Macaca fascicularis: one gene and its partners. The protein of the gene in region 1 interacts with the protein of each later gene in a pairwise test. Links are inferred from orthologs where the notes say so. Each region holds a gene or a part of one and is shown in the gene's direction. Other genes may lie near its edges. The genes, in order: IQCN, CALML3 and MID2.

What was found.
Region 2: the proteins of IQCN (region 1) and CALML3 interact in binary tests that used the Homo sapiens proteins (3 or more experiments, as listed by UniProt). The two-hybrid records come from large-scale screens. The link is inferred for Macaca fascicularis from reciprocal best matches to the Homo sapiens genes IQCN and CALML3.
Region 3: the proteins of IQCN (region 1) and MID2 interact in binary tests that used the Homo sapiens proteins (3 or more experiments, as listed by UniProt). The two-hybrid records come from large-scale screens. The link is inferred for Macaca fascicularis from reciprocal best matches to the Homo sapiens genes IQCN and MID2.

The regions. Positions count from the first base shown.
Region 1 is NC_088393.1:18,628,870-18,633,314, reverse strand, and holds the start of IQCN (IQ domain-containing protein N), read left to right. Parts: upstream 1-1,564; coding exon 1,565-4,445. UniProt on the Homo sapiens protein: Essential for spermiogenesis and fertilization. May be required for manchette assembly in elongating spermatids.
Region 2 is NC_088383.1:6,448,567-6,451,718, forward strand, and holds CALML3 (calmodulin-like protein 3), read left to right. Parts: upstream 1-1,290; 5' UTR 1,291-1,415; coding exon 1,416-1,865; 3' UTR 1,866-2,594; downstream 2,595-3,152. UniProt on the Homo sapiens protein: May function as a specific light chain of unconventional myosin-10 (MYO10), also enhances MYO10 translation, possibly by acting as a chaperone for the emerging MYO10 heavy chain protein.
Region 3 is NC_088395.1:114,394,395-114,398,592, forward strand, and holds the start of MID2 (probable E3 ubiquitin-protein ligase MID2), read left to right. Parts: upstream 1-1,378; 5' UTR 1,379-1,943; coding exon 1,944-1,947; intron 1,948-4,198. UniProt on the Homo sapiens protein: E3 ubiquitin ligase that plays a role in microtubule stabilization. Mediates the 'Lys-48'-linked polyubiquitination of LRRK2 to drive its localization to microtubules and its proteasomal degradation in neurons.

The DNA.
Region 1 (4,445 bases):
GAGTGTCTTGCTCTTGTTGCCAGGCTGGAGTGTAATGCCATAATCTTGGCTCACTGCAGCCTCCTCCTCCCGGCTTCAAGCGATTCTCCTGCCTCAGTCTTCTGAGTAGCTGGGACTACAGGTGCCCGCCACCATACCTGGCTCCTTTTGTTTTCTTTTTTTTTTTTTGAGACAGAGTCTTGCTGTGTCACCCAAGCTGGAGCGAGGTGTCATGATCTCAGCTCACTGCAACCTCCACCTACCAGGTTCAAACAATTCTCCTCCCTCAGCCTCCTGAGTAGCTGGGATTACAGGCATGTGCCACCATGCTGAGCTGATTTTTGTATTTTTAGTAGAGATGGGGTTTCACCATGTTGGCCAGGCTGGTCTCGAACTCCTGAGCTTGTGATCCACTCACCTGGACCTCCCAAAGTGTTGGGATTACAGGCGTGAGCCACTGTGCCCGGCCTACTTTTCTGTATTTTTAGTAGAGACAGGGTTTCACCATGTTGGCCCGGCTGGCCTCGAACTCCTGACCCCAAGCAATCTGCCGACCTTGGCCTCCCAAAGTGCTGGAATGACAGACGTGAGCCACCCCCCTGGCCAATTTGCCTTTAAGACTTTATTCATCAACTTAATTTACCTATTCATCCAAACCTTCATCTGTCTCTCCAACCCATCTACCATTCACTCATCGACTGATTCATCCTTTCAGTATCTAGTCCTGTATCTATCTGTCCATCCAACTTCCAATCCCCTCACCATTTATCGGTCAAGATGCCCGCCCACCCAATACCTACCCATTCACAGCTTAGAACCAAGCCCTATGACTGAGATGGGACACAATAATGACTCTGCCTTCTGGGATTCACAGTCAATGGGAGAGGCAAATAATCTCCCCCACCACACTTCTCTATCCTTTTCACACACACACACACGCGCGCACACACACACAGACACACGCACACACACACGCGCACACGCACACACGCACGCGCACACACACACACTCTCACACGCACACACATACACACACACAGGCAAACAGGAAATTTCCAAAACATTGTGATCAGTGCTAAACCCAGGGTACATCTAAGATAAAGTTTGAAAAGCGGGCCGGGCGCGGTGGCTCACACCTGTAATCCCAGCACTTTGGGAGGCCGAGGCAGGTGGATCACCTGAGGTCAGGAGTTTGAGACCAGCCTGGCCAACATGGTGAAACCCCGTCTCCACTAAAAATACAGAAAAGTAGCCAGGCATGGTGGCACACACCTGTAATTTCAGCTACTCGGGAGGCTGAGGCAGGAGAATCACTTGAAACCAGGAGGTGGAGGTTGCGGTGAGCCAAGATCACACCATTGCACTCCAGCCTGGGCAACAAGAGCGAAACTTTGTCTCAAAAACAAACAAAAAACAAAAAGAAAGAAAAAAGAAAAGCAGTTAAGTGGTCCGGCATTCAGGTGTCATGCACTGTGTGCCAGGATGAAGTGGCCGTAGGATGACCTCTTGTCTGCAGGACCTGCTACACCCTTACCACCCCCTGCCGCCCCCACAGGCAGAGCTGACCTGCCCAGTAATCAAGGCAATGCAGCCGGCCACCCAGCTACAGTTCACGAACCACTTGTCACCCAATGGGCAGTGCATCCTCCAGCCCCCGCCCACCCCTAGTCTCCCGGACAAAATGGAGAAAGCACCTCCACAGCCCCAGCACGAGGGCCTCAAGTCCGAGGAGCATCTTCCGCAACAGCCTGCTGCAGCCAAGACAGTGTCCCGCCACATCCCACGCCTCCGGGCTGTGGTCGAGAGCCAGGCCTTCAAGAACATCCTGGTAGATGAGATGGACATGATGCACGCCCGCGCAGCCACACTCATCCAAGCCAACTGGAGGGGCTATCGGCTCCGGCAGAAGCTGATTTCCCAGATGACGGCGGCCAAGGCCATCCAGGAGGCATGGCGGCGCTTCAACAAGAGACACATCCTGCACTCCAGCAAGTTGTTGGTGAAGAAAGTGAGGGCGGAGGACGGGAACATCCCTTATCACGCCCCGCAGCAGGTGCGCTTCCAGCATCCGGAAGAGAACTGCCTTCTGTCCCCGCCCGTCATGGTGAACAAGGAGACCCAGTTCCCTTCCTATGACAATCTGGTCCTCTGCAGACCCCAGTCATCCCCCCTCCTGAAGCCTCCAGCAGCTCAGGGTACCCCAGAACCCTGTGTGCAGGCTCCTCATGCTGCTGGAGTCCGGGGGGTGGCCTTCCTGCCACACCAGACGGTCACCATCAGATTTCCCTGCCCAGTGAGTTTGGATGCAAAATGCCAGTCATGCTTGCTGACCAGAACCATCAGAAGCACCTGCCTCGTCCACATAGAGGGTGACTCAGTGAAAACCAAACGTGTAACTGCCCGGACCAACAAAGCTGGGGTTCCGGAGACGCCATTGTCCAGAAGGTACGACAAGGCAGTTATGGGACCATCCAGAGCCCAAACCCAGGGCCCTGTGGAAGCAGAGACCCCCAAAGCCCCTTTCCAGATATGCCCAGGGCCTGTGATCACCAAGACCTTACTCCAGACATATCCGGTGGTCTCCATGACCCTGCCGCAAACATATTCAGCGTCCACGACGACCACCACCCCACACAAGACTAGCCCTGTTCCCAAAATAACAATAACCAAGACCCCAGTCCAGATGTATCCGGGGCCCACAGTGATGACCAAAACTGCACCTCACACATGCCCCATGCCCACGATGACCAAGATCCAGGTGCACTCCACAGCTTCCAGAACTGGCACCCCACGGCAGACATGCCGCGCAACCATCACGGCAAAGCACCAACCTCAGGTTTCCCTTCTGGCCTCCATCATGAAGAGCCCACCCCAGGTATGCCCAGGGCCTGCGATGGCAAAGACCCCACCCCAGACGCACCCGGTCGCCACCCCAGCCAAAAGCCCACTGCAAACGTGTCTGGCAGCCACCACGTCCAACACTTCATCCCAGATGAGCCCGGTTGGGTTGACCAAGCCCTCGCGCCAGACTCGCCTGGCAGCCATGATAACCAAGACCCCAGCCCAGTTACGCTCAGTGGCCACCATCCTCAAGACCCTGTGTCTGGCCTCTCCAACAGTGGCAAATGTCAAGGCTCCACCCCAAGTGGCGGTACGAGGCTCCATCCATGACAACCCACCCAAGGCCAAGGCCACCATGAATATGAAGCAGGCTGCAGAGGCGGTGAAAGCCTCATCCCCCTCCTATTTGGCTGAGGGGAAGATCAGGTGCCTGGCCCAATCACGTCTGGGAACTGGGGTCCCCAGGGCTCCAGCTAAGCTTCCTTTGGAAGCTGAGAAAATCAAGACTGGCCCCCAGAAACCGGTGAAAGCTGACATGGCATTGAAGACCAGTGTGGCAGTGGAAGTGGCTGGGGCTCCATCCTGGACAAAAGTTGCTGAGGAAGGGGACAAGCCATCTCACCTGTATGTGCCTGTAGACGTGGCTGTCACCCTGCCCCGGGGACAGCCGGCTGCCCCACTGACCAACGCCTCATCCCAGAGACATCCACCTTGCCTGTCCCAGAGACCACTGGCCACCCCGCTGACCAAGGCCTCATCTCAGGGACATCTGCCCATCGAGCTGACCAAGACCCCATCCCTGGCCCATCTGGTCACCTGTCTGAGCAAGATGCATTCCCAGGCACATCTGGCCACAGGTGCCATGAAGGTCCAATCCCAAGTGCCTCTGGCCACCTGTCTGACCAAGACGCAGTCCCGGGGGCAGCCGATCATAACCAAGCGCCTCATCCCAGCTCACCAGGCTGCTGATCTCAGCAGCAACACCCATTCCCAGGTGCTCCTAACAGGGTCCAAGGTGTCCAACCAGGCCTGCCAGCACCTCAGTGGCCTGAGTGCCCCACCCTGGGCCAAGCCAGAGGACAGATGGACTCAGCCAAAGCCCCATGGACATGTGCCGGGGAAGACCACTCAGGGGGGACCATGCCCGGCAGCCTGTGAGGTCCAGGGTACGCTGGTGCCACTGATGGCACCCACCGGACATTCCACATGTCATGTTGAGTCCTGGGGAGACAGCGGAGCCACGCGTGCCCAGCCATCAATGCCCAGCCAGGCGGTGCCCTGCCAGGAGGACACGGTAGGCTCCCTGCTGGCCTCCCTGTGTGCTGAAGTAGCTGGTGTGCTGGCATCCCAGGAGGATCTCCGCACTCTGTTGGCCAAAGCCCTCTCCCAGGGAGAAGTCCGGGCAGCTCTGAACCAGGCCCTGTCCAAGGAGTTCCTGGGTGCCACTGTCGCCAGAGCCCTGCCCCAGAGCATGCTGAGCATGGCGCTGGTGAAGGCGCTGTCCTGGAGTGAGCTGCGCCTGACCCTGTCCCGAGCCCTGTCCCAGGGCGAGCTGCGGGCAGAACTCGCCAAGGTCATGCAGGGTAAATTGGCCGAGGTGCTTAGCAAGGCTTTGACGGAGGAGG
Region 2 (3,152 bases), on another chromosome or scaffold:
ATCCAGAGAGAACAAAAATGAATATCCAAGCCCTTCTCCTGCCATAGTCTCTCCCCGGCAAGTCCAGGTCCTCAAAAGGACACTTTCTTTCCCATTCAGGTCCCTGCCCCACCCCTACACACCCAGCAAAAAATAGAGTGGGTCCCATGTTTCTCCCCCAGTGTGGATTTCCTGGATTCCCACAGGTGAAGCGCCTGCTCCTGCCTCTTTGGGGGTCATGTCCCCAGGCCCCCTGGGAGTAGGAGCCGAGTCTGTGCTGTGAACACCCCACCATCCCCCTGAGCAGGTCTCCTCCTAGAGAGGCCCTCCCCTCAGCCCCAGCTCCGTGCTCCCTGGAGCTCCTGGGGCACCGTGGACCAGACTATGAAGTGGGACTTCCTGACTGAGCCCTTCAAGGGCTCCTTTGTCTCTCCTCCTTGTCCCCTCCCTCACAGGCCTGCAGCCCCCCTGATCATCTGCCAGCCCTTGGCCCCGCCATGCCCACTGCAGCCTAGACGGCTGCTTCTCAGCAGAGGGTCTGTCCTTGACCAGGCCGAAAGGTGACCTCGGGGTCCTGTCCATCACCACCTTGTATGTCCGTCAGCATTTATCAACAATCCCTAGTTACCTTGTTTGCATTCCTCGATTAGTTTACCTGCGAACTAGCTGTCTTGCTAGTTAACCTCACGAGAACTGGGGGTGGCTTGCCGGTCCCACTGTGTTCCCAGCTTCCAGAGTGACACTGCACATAGTAGGCACTCAGTAAATATCTGTGAAAGGGTGGATGAGTGAATGGGTTGGAGGAAACCCCTCCCTATTCATGTCCATTCTGAAGATAAGAAAACTCCCTGCTTCTACCTGAAGGAAAAACCTTCCTCCTCCAAAAACCCTCAGGTGCTATAGACGGCTTTAGAAACCCAAGGCAAGGAAGTTTCTTCCATCTGCCTTTCATCAGGCAAAAAGCCCTCCACTCAAGAGAAGAAAGGGCACTGGAGTTAATTGAGGGGGAGACAGGGAGCAGGTGGGAGATCCGGAGGGAGGAGAGAAAGGGGAATTCAGGAGGATGCAGTCCAGCGTGCATTGCTCCAAAGCTTGCCCACCACGCCCTAACTGCAGGTGCGATTCCGGGGCCCCTGTGGCTCTGCTGGGTCCGGGTGCAGGCAGGCACAGAGGTGCTGGCGTCAGCTCAATTCGCAGGCCCCGGACTCCTGTCTAAACAGGACAGGCTCGGGCAACCGCAGGGCACGGGCGTCTGCCAATGATGGGGGAGGACTCTGCTGCTTCTTAAGCTCCAGCGACTCAAGCCAGGGCGAGACAGCCCGCCGGCCGCCCAGATCTCCACCTGCCACCCCAGAGCTGGGACAGCAGCCGGGCTCCGGCACTGGGAGGGAGACCCCGCCGTGGCCTCTTCTGCCACCCACGCCCCCACCCCTGGCATGGCCGACCAGCTGACAGAAGAACAGATCACAGAATTCAAGGAGGCCTTCTCCCTGTTTGACAAGGACGGGGACGGCTGCATCACCACCCGCGAGCTGGGCACGGTCATGCGGTCCCTGGGCCAGAACCCCACGGAGGCCGAGCTGCGGGACATGATGAGCGAGATCGACCGGGACGGCAACGGCACCGTGGACTTCCCCGAGTTCCTGGGCATGATGGCCAGGAAGATGAAGGACACGGACAACGAGGAGGAGATCCGCGAGGCCTTCCGCGTGTTCGACAAGGACGGCAACGGCTTCGTCAGCGCCGCGGAGCTGCGACACGTCATGACCCGGCTGGGGGAGAAGCTGAGTGACGAGGAGGTGGACGAGATGATCCGGGCCGCGGACACGGATGGAGACGGACAGGTGAACTACGAGGAGTTCGTCCGTGTGCTGGTGTCCAAGTGAGGCCGGCGCCCACCATGCTCCTGGGCGCCCGCTCGGCCCGCAGGGCAAGAACCCGGGGCCTCTAGCCTCCTCCTCCTTCCCCGCTGCCTCCCCAGGGCAGGGTGGCGTCTTCCTGGGCCAGGTTGATTCTGCCCACCTCTCTGCATCCCACTTCCCGCATCTCTTCTCTGCGCTCCTGCCCACCTTCCCACCTGCTCATCTGAATGACATGGAACTCTCCCGCTCCAAGCAAACCGTGGAACCCTCCCCACTCGGGAGAAGCAGAGCTGACCTTAGGACCAAGCACCAGGGCAGGTTGCGCTGACTCTGCGGCCAGTCAGGATGGACACAGGGTGACCCCTTAGAGCACGCAGGCAAGATCCCTAACAGGCACCCAATGCCCAGGCCAGGGCGGCTGCAGCCCTCAGCCCACGCCAGGATTCCCGGAGGCTCCTGGACTGGAGGCTCCCTCCGCAGTCGGATTCTGGAGGGTGGGAGGCCTCTTGGCCTGCGGTAAGGGGTGCTGATGGGGACTGTGGCCACAGAGGTTAGGCCTCCTGAAAACAGCACTGCCTTCCACGCTGCCCCAGCTTGCCCCTTTCCTTGTCGGCCAACCCACCGTGATTCATCCTCTGAAGCTGGGAGTGAAACCGGGTCAGCTGTAACCTGTTCCTATTCATCTGGAAGGAGGGAGGTTTGGATGAGCAGGGGAGGGGAGCTGCAGGGAAATAAATGAGATATTCGTTCTTATTTCATTTCCTTTTTTCTGGTTCCCATGGAAATGATCCTTGTTACATTCAGCGTTGAAACGAGGCAGGAATCTCCATTTTTGTGCTTTTTGAAAATGCAATGAATTCCTTTGGTGGGGTGCGGTGCCTCAGAGAGAGAGAAGTCTGGATGAGGGAAATCTTGAATATTCTCAATCAAATGGATATGCTGGCAGCAAAGAGTGGTTAAAAGTCCATCAGGACTTGAAAGACCTGAGTCCATTATGTTGAGAAGGGACCTGCTGATTGTTTTTATTCCCCGTGGCAAGTGCTCCCTGGTTGTGAAGTGCCAGGCACTAGAAGATGGTGGGGGGCACGCTGGGCACACACAGGGTAAGAGCCATGCAGAGGTGTTAGTCCTGCCCTAGCCCTGCAAGCAGCCGGCAACACCCAGAGAAGGTTGAAGGGGCCCTGCCAGAGATCCCTTCAGTTCTAAAGGGAGGTGTGTTTTCCAGTGTGGGCCCTAGACGGAGCTCATCAGAAAAGGCCATGGTGGATGCATCCTCTCTCCCTGACACCCACCCCCGCCCACCACCACCCG
Region 3 (4,198 bases), on another chromosome or scaffold:
TTTTTTTTTTTTTGAGACGGAGTCTCGCTCTGCCGCCCAGGCTGGAGTGCAGTGGCCGGATCTCAGCTCACTGCAAGCTCCGCCTCCTGGGTTCACACCATTCTCCTGCCTCAGCCTCCCGAGTAGCTGGGACTACAGGCGCCCGCCACCTCACCTGGCTAGTTTTTTTGTATTTTTTAGTAGAGACGGGGTTTCACCGTGTTAGCCAGGATGGTCTCGATCTCCTGACCTCATGATCCGCCCGTCTCCGCCTCCCAAAGTGCTGGGATTACAGGCTTGAGCCACCGCGCCCGGCCGGGGCCAGACTTTCATCAGGGCAGCCTGGTTGTGATTTTTGCCTTGGTTTCCACCTCAGTGATCTCTAGCACATTGTTTCACAGGAGTGTTGACTGATTACTATTGGTTCCCTGAAGGGATATACCAAGAGATACCTCAATTTTTCTGGGCTTGTTCTTATGCACAATGATGGCAGGCGTGTGTGTGTGTGTGTGTGTGTGTGTGTGTGTGTGCGCGCGTGCGCGCGCGCGCTGGGGCAGGTCCTCTCATTTCATTTCTTTCCCCTTGTTCTCTCTTTTTGCCCCAAGTTAGAAACAGTCTCTTATGGGGCTTCCTGCTCTTTCCCTCTCCCATCCACCTTTTGAGTGGGGGTCACTCCAGACCAATGGGAGGATGCTGGATTCCAAATGGACCAATTAGCTTATTAGGGACCTGGAATACCTGGATAGCTAGCATCTGCCTCATTGTCCTTGTGGTAACGACCCTCTTGTTTTACTGGTCAACAATTTGAAGGTACAAGAAAAATCCTGCTTTTTTTTTTTCTTTTGATGGCTTTAATCCACCTTCACAACTTCTGCCCGAGGCCAATAAAACACAGCCATTCTCTCTTTGTAAAAAGAAAGAGGGGTTGGGTTTCCTTCAATTGTCTGCCCTTTTCTATCTCCTCCACTATTTTTGTTTTACTCTGTAGTTAACTTTGCATAGAGCAGCTTCATGGAGAGGATCTGTGCGGTGGACCCGGGCACTCTCTTCTTATTACCGGTTGCAAAGGCCTCTTCCTTGTTCTAACCTGGGGTTTGTGGGGCTGGGGGACAGAGGAGTGGGGAGTGGGAGAAGAGTTTAGCCATAGTCTTCCTTCTGCATTTCACACACATTCTGCTTTCTCTGTCGCTCTGTCACTCACACACACACACACACACACACACACACACACACACAACACACACATACACACACACACACCCGCCCGGGTCCCTCTCTCTGTGTCTTCCTTCAAGATGACAGGGCGCTGGAGAAAAGGCTGCTGGAATCAGCTGGTAGGTACAGTAGTAACCCGAGCCCCACCCACCGGCTGCCTTTGCTTGCTCAGGTTTCTCCGGTCACTCCTGCCAGGGGAGAAGACATGTAAACGTGCCTCCAGAGGAAGGGCTGGGGGAGCTGGGAGTGGCGGGGGCGGCGGAAGGTGAGCCTGGGAAGGTGTCCGAGCGCCCCTTCTTCTTTGGCCCTTCCCAGTGCTCCCTTGGGGTGTCAGCCCCAACCCCGTTTGCCCCCACTCCGCCTCCCTTTTGGAAGGGATTGCCTTTTTTTTTCCTCTGCGGCGGCGGAAATGACAGTGTGGTGCTGCCGTGGTGTCATGGTGCTGCCCCTGGACTGAGGGGCGAAAACTCTTAACTTCAGCTCGGGAGACCCAGCCGCGGTAGCATCGCGGCCGCCGTGCTATCCCCTGCGGGGCGCGCGGGCTGGCGGATCCCGGCTGCTGCGCGGCGTCGGCGACGGTAGCGGCAGCTGCAGCGAAGGCGGGCGGCGGCCTAGAGTGGTGGCGGCGGCGGCGGCGGCGACCGGGGCCCTGGAGCTCGCGCCGGAGCCCGAGCTAGCCCGCTGCGGAGGCAGACGAGCGCCCAGCGCCCTCGAGCGAGCAGAGGAGATGGCTGGCACCTGGGAACGCTATGGGTAAAACGCGCCCCCTCGCCGCGGCCCTGGAGGTCGAGCGTCGTCGCCCTCGCAGGGCTCGGCCCTGGCTCCGGCCGCTTTTCAGGTGCCGCCGGGGCCCGGCGTTAGCCGAGGGCTCTCGGGCTCGGCGGGGCAGGGTGATGGGGCCCGCGAGGCTCGAGACGGCGACGGGGGCCCCAGATCAGCTCCGGCTCCCAGTCATGCTGTTGGGGCTCGGGTTCCTGCCACTGCCCTCCTGGGACAGAGTTTGCACTCCGGGGTGCGGGGCGGGGGCGGCCGAGGCCTCTGCGCAGCCGGGCCGGGCCGGGCGCGGGCAGTCGAGCGAATCCTCCGGCGCCTGGGCGCGAGTCTGGGAAAGGGCACGGCCGCCTTCCCACGCTCCCGCAGCCGGCAGCCTCTTCGTCCCCGGCGTCGCCCCTTGGCCGGCCGTCTGCCGGGCGGTGCTGTCGCAGCAGCCGGCGTGGCTGCGGACGCCCTGCCGGCGGGGAGGCCCGGTGAAACTTAATCCCTTTTCTGCCAGGGGAGCGATCCTCGAGTCTCCGTCTGGATGGTTCCTTATTTCTGGCCTAGCTGTGAAACCAGCTCTGTGGGGGAGAGGGAAAACTTACATATGTCCACAGGACAGACTGCGACGCAACCAGGGAGAGTGGGGATTTTCCATTCCTGCCTTGTAAGAATTAAGTAAATAACGGCAGAGTAGATTTACAGGAATATTACTGGTGATGATAAGGTTTAGGTTACTTAGCACTTCGTGTGTTGCACATTATTTTTCAGAAGTGTTGCTTCTTAGAGCAGGAAATTGAAATCCTGGAGTCGTTTTACTCTTTACTTTCTCTCTCTCTTCCACTGTCCCCTACCGTTTTCATGATCACTCACCTTCCTATGTCACAACACTTACATGACTATGGAAATCCCGCACTAGAGCGCCTTGGACCCCAGGCTTTCCCCATCAACCTGTGCCCTCCCAGCCTCCCAGCCATGCTGCATCTTACTTCTTCAACCACTTTGCCTTTTGAGGATTTCTGAGTGTGGGGCGGATAGATGGTGATGGTTGTGTGTCTCTGAGGATGAGCCCTTATAAAGGAATATATTGGAAACTAAATAGAGAAGTACCATGTGTGGGTTGATCCCTCTGATTCTCAACTTGGGCCAGAAGGGCTGCCTTTAACCCCATTCTGCTCCGTCCCAGTACTCTAATCAGTTCTCTGGCAATATTCCAATAGAAGGGAGTTGCTGAATAGGGAGTTCTCCTCCCCTACTTTTCTTCTGTTTGGGGAGTGGTTTCATTCTACCCCAGATGGTTAGCTTCCCCCTCCCCACCCCCCCGACACTCACATCCCCCTGTCTGTCTCCTCTCATGACTGTACTGAGGGAGAAACTGTCTTTGCTATTTTTATATATTCCTGCCCAATCAATGAACTTAACATGGGTATATAATGTGAATTAGATTTCTCCTGATTGCTCCTCACAACTTGATTCATGTGTTTGATAAAGTTTGGATATTTATCCCTGCCCAAATCTTATGTACAAATGTAATCCCCAGTGTTGAGGTGGGGCCTGATGGGAGGTGACTGGATCATGAGGGCAGATTTCTCATGAATGGTTTAGCACCATCACCTTGGTTGACTGTGAGTCCTTGTGATAGTGAGTAATCTCTCCTGAGATCTGGTTGTTTAAAAGCGTGCGGCACTTCCCCCCAGCTCTCTTTCTCCCTTGCTTCTGCTCACACCATGTGAGAATCTCCTGCTCCCCATTTGCCTCCCTCCATGATTGTAAGCTTCCTGAGTCCTCCTCAGAAGCAGATGCTGGCATCACACTTCCTGTACAGCCTGCAGAACTGTGACCCAATTAAACCTCTTTTCTTTTTTTTCTTTTCTTTTCTGTTTTTTTTTTTTTTTTTGAGAAAGGGTCTTGCCTCGGGCTTAAGCAATCCTTCTATCTCAGCATCTTGAGTAGTTGGGACCACAGGTGCATGCCACCACACCCAGCTAATTTTTGTATTTTTTGTAGAGATGGGGTTTTGACATATTGCTCAGGCTGGTCTCGAACTCCTGAGGTCAAGCGATCTGAGGGCCTCACCAAGTGCTGGGATTATAGGCAAGAGCCACAATGCCCAGCCTACCTCTTTTATTTATAAACTACCCAGTTTCAGGTATTTCTTTAAGGCAATGCAAGAATAGCTAATGCAGTGGTTAAAACACAGGTCCAGGAGTCAAGAAGATCAGAGTTCATCCCAAATCTGATGTTACAT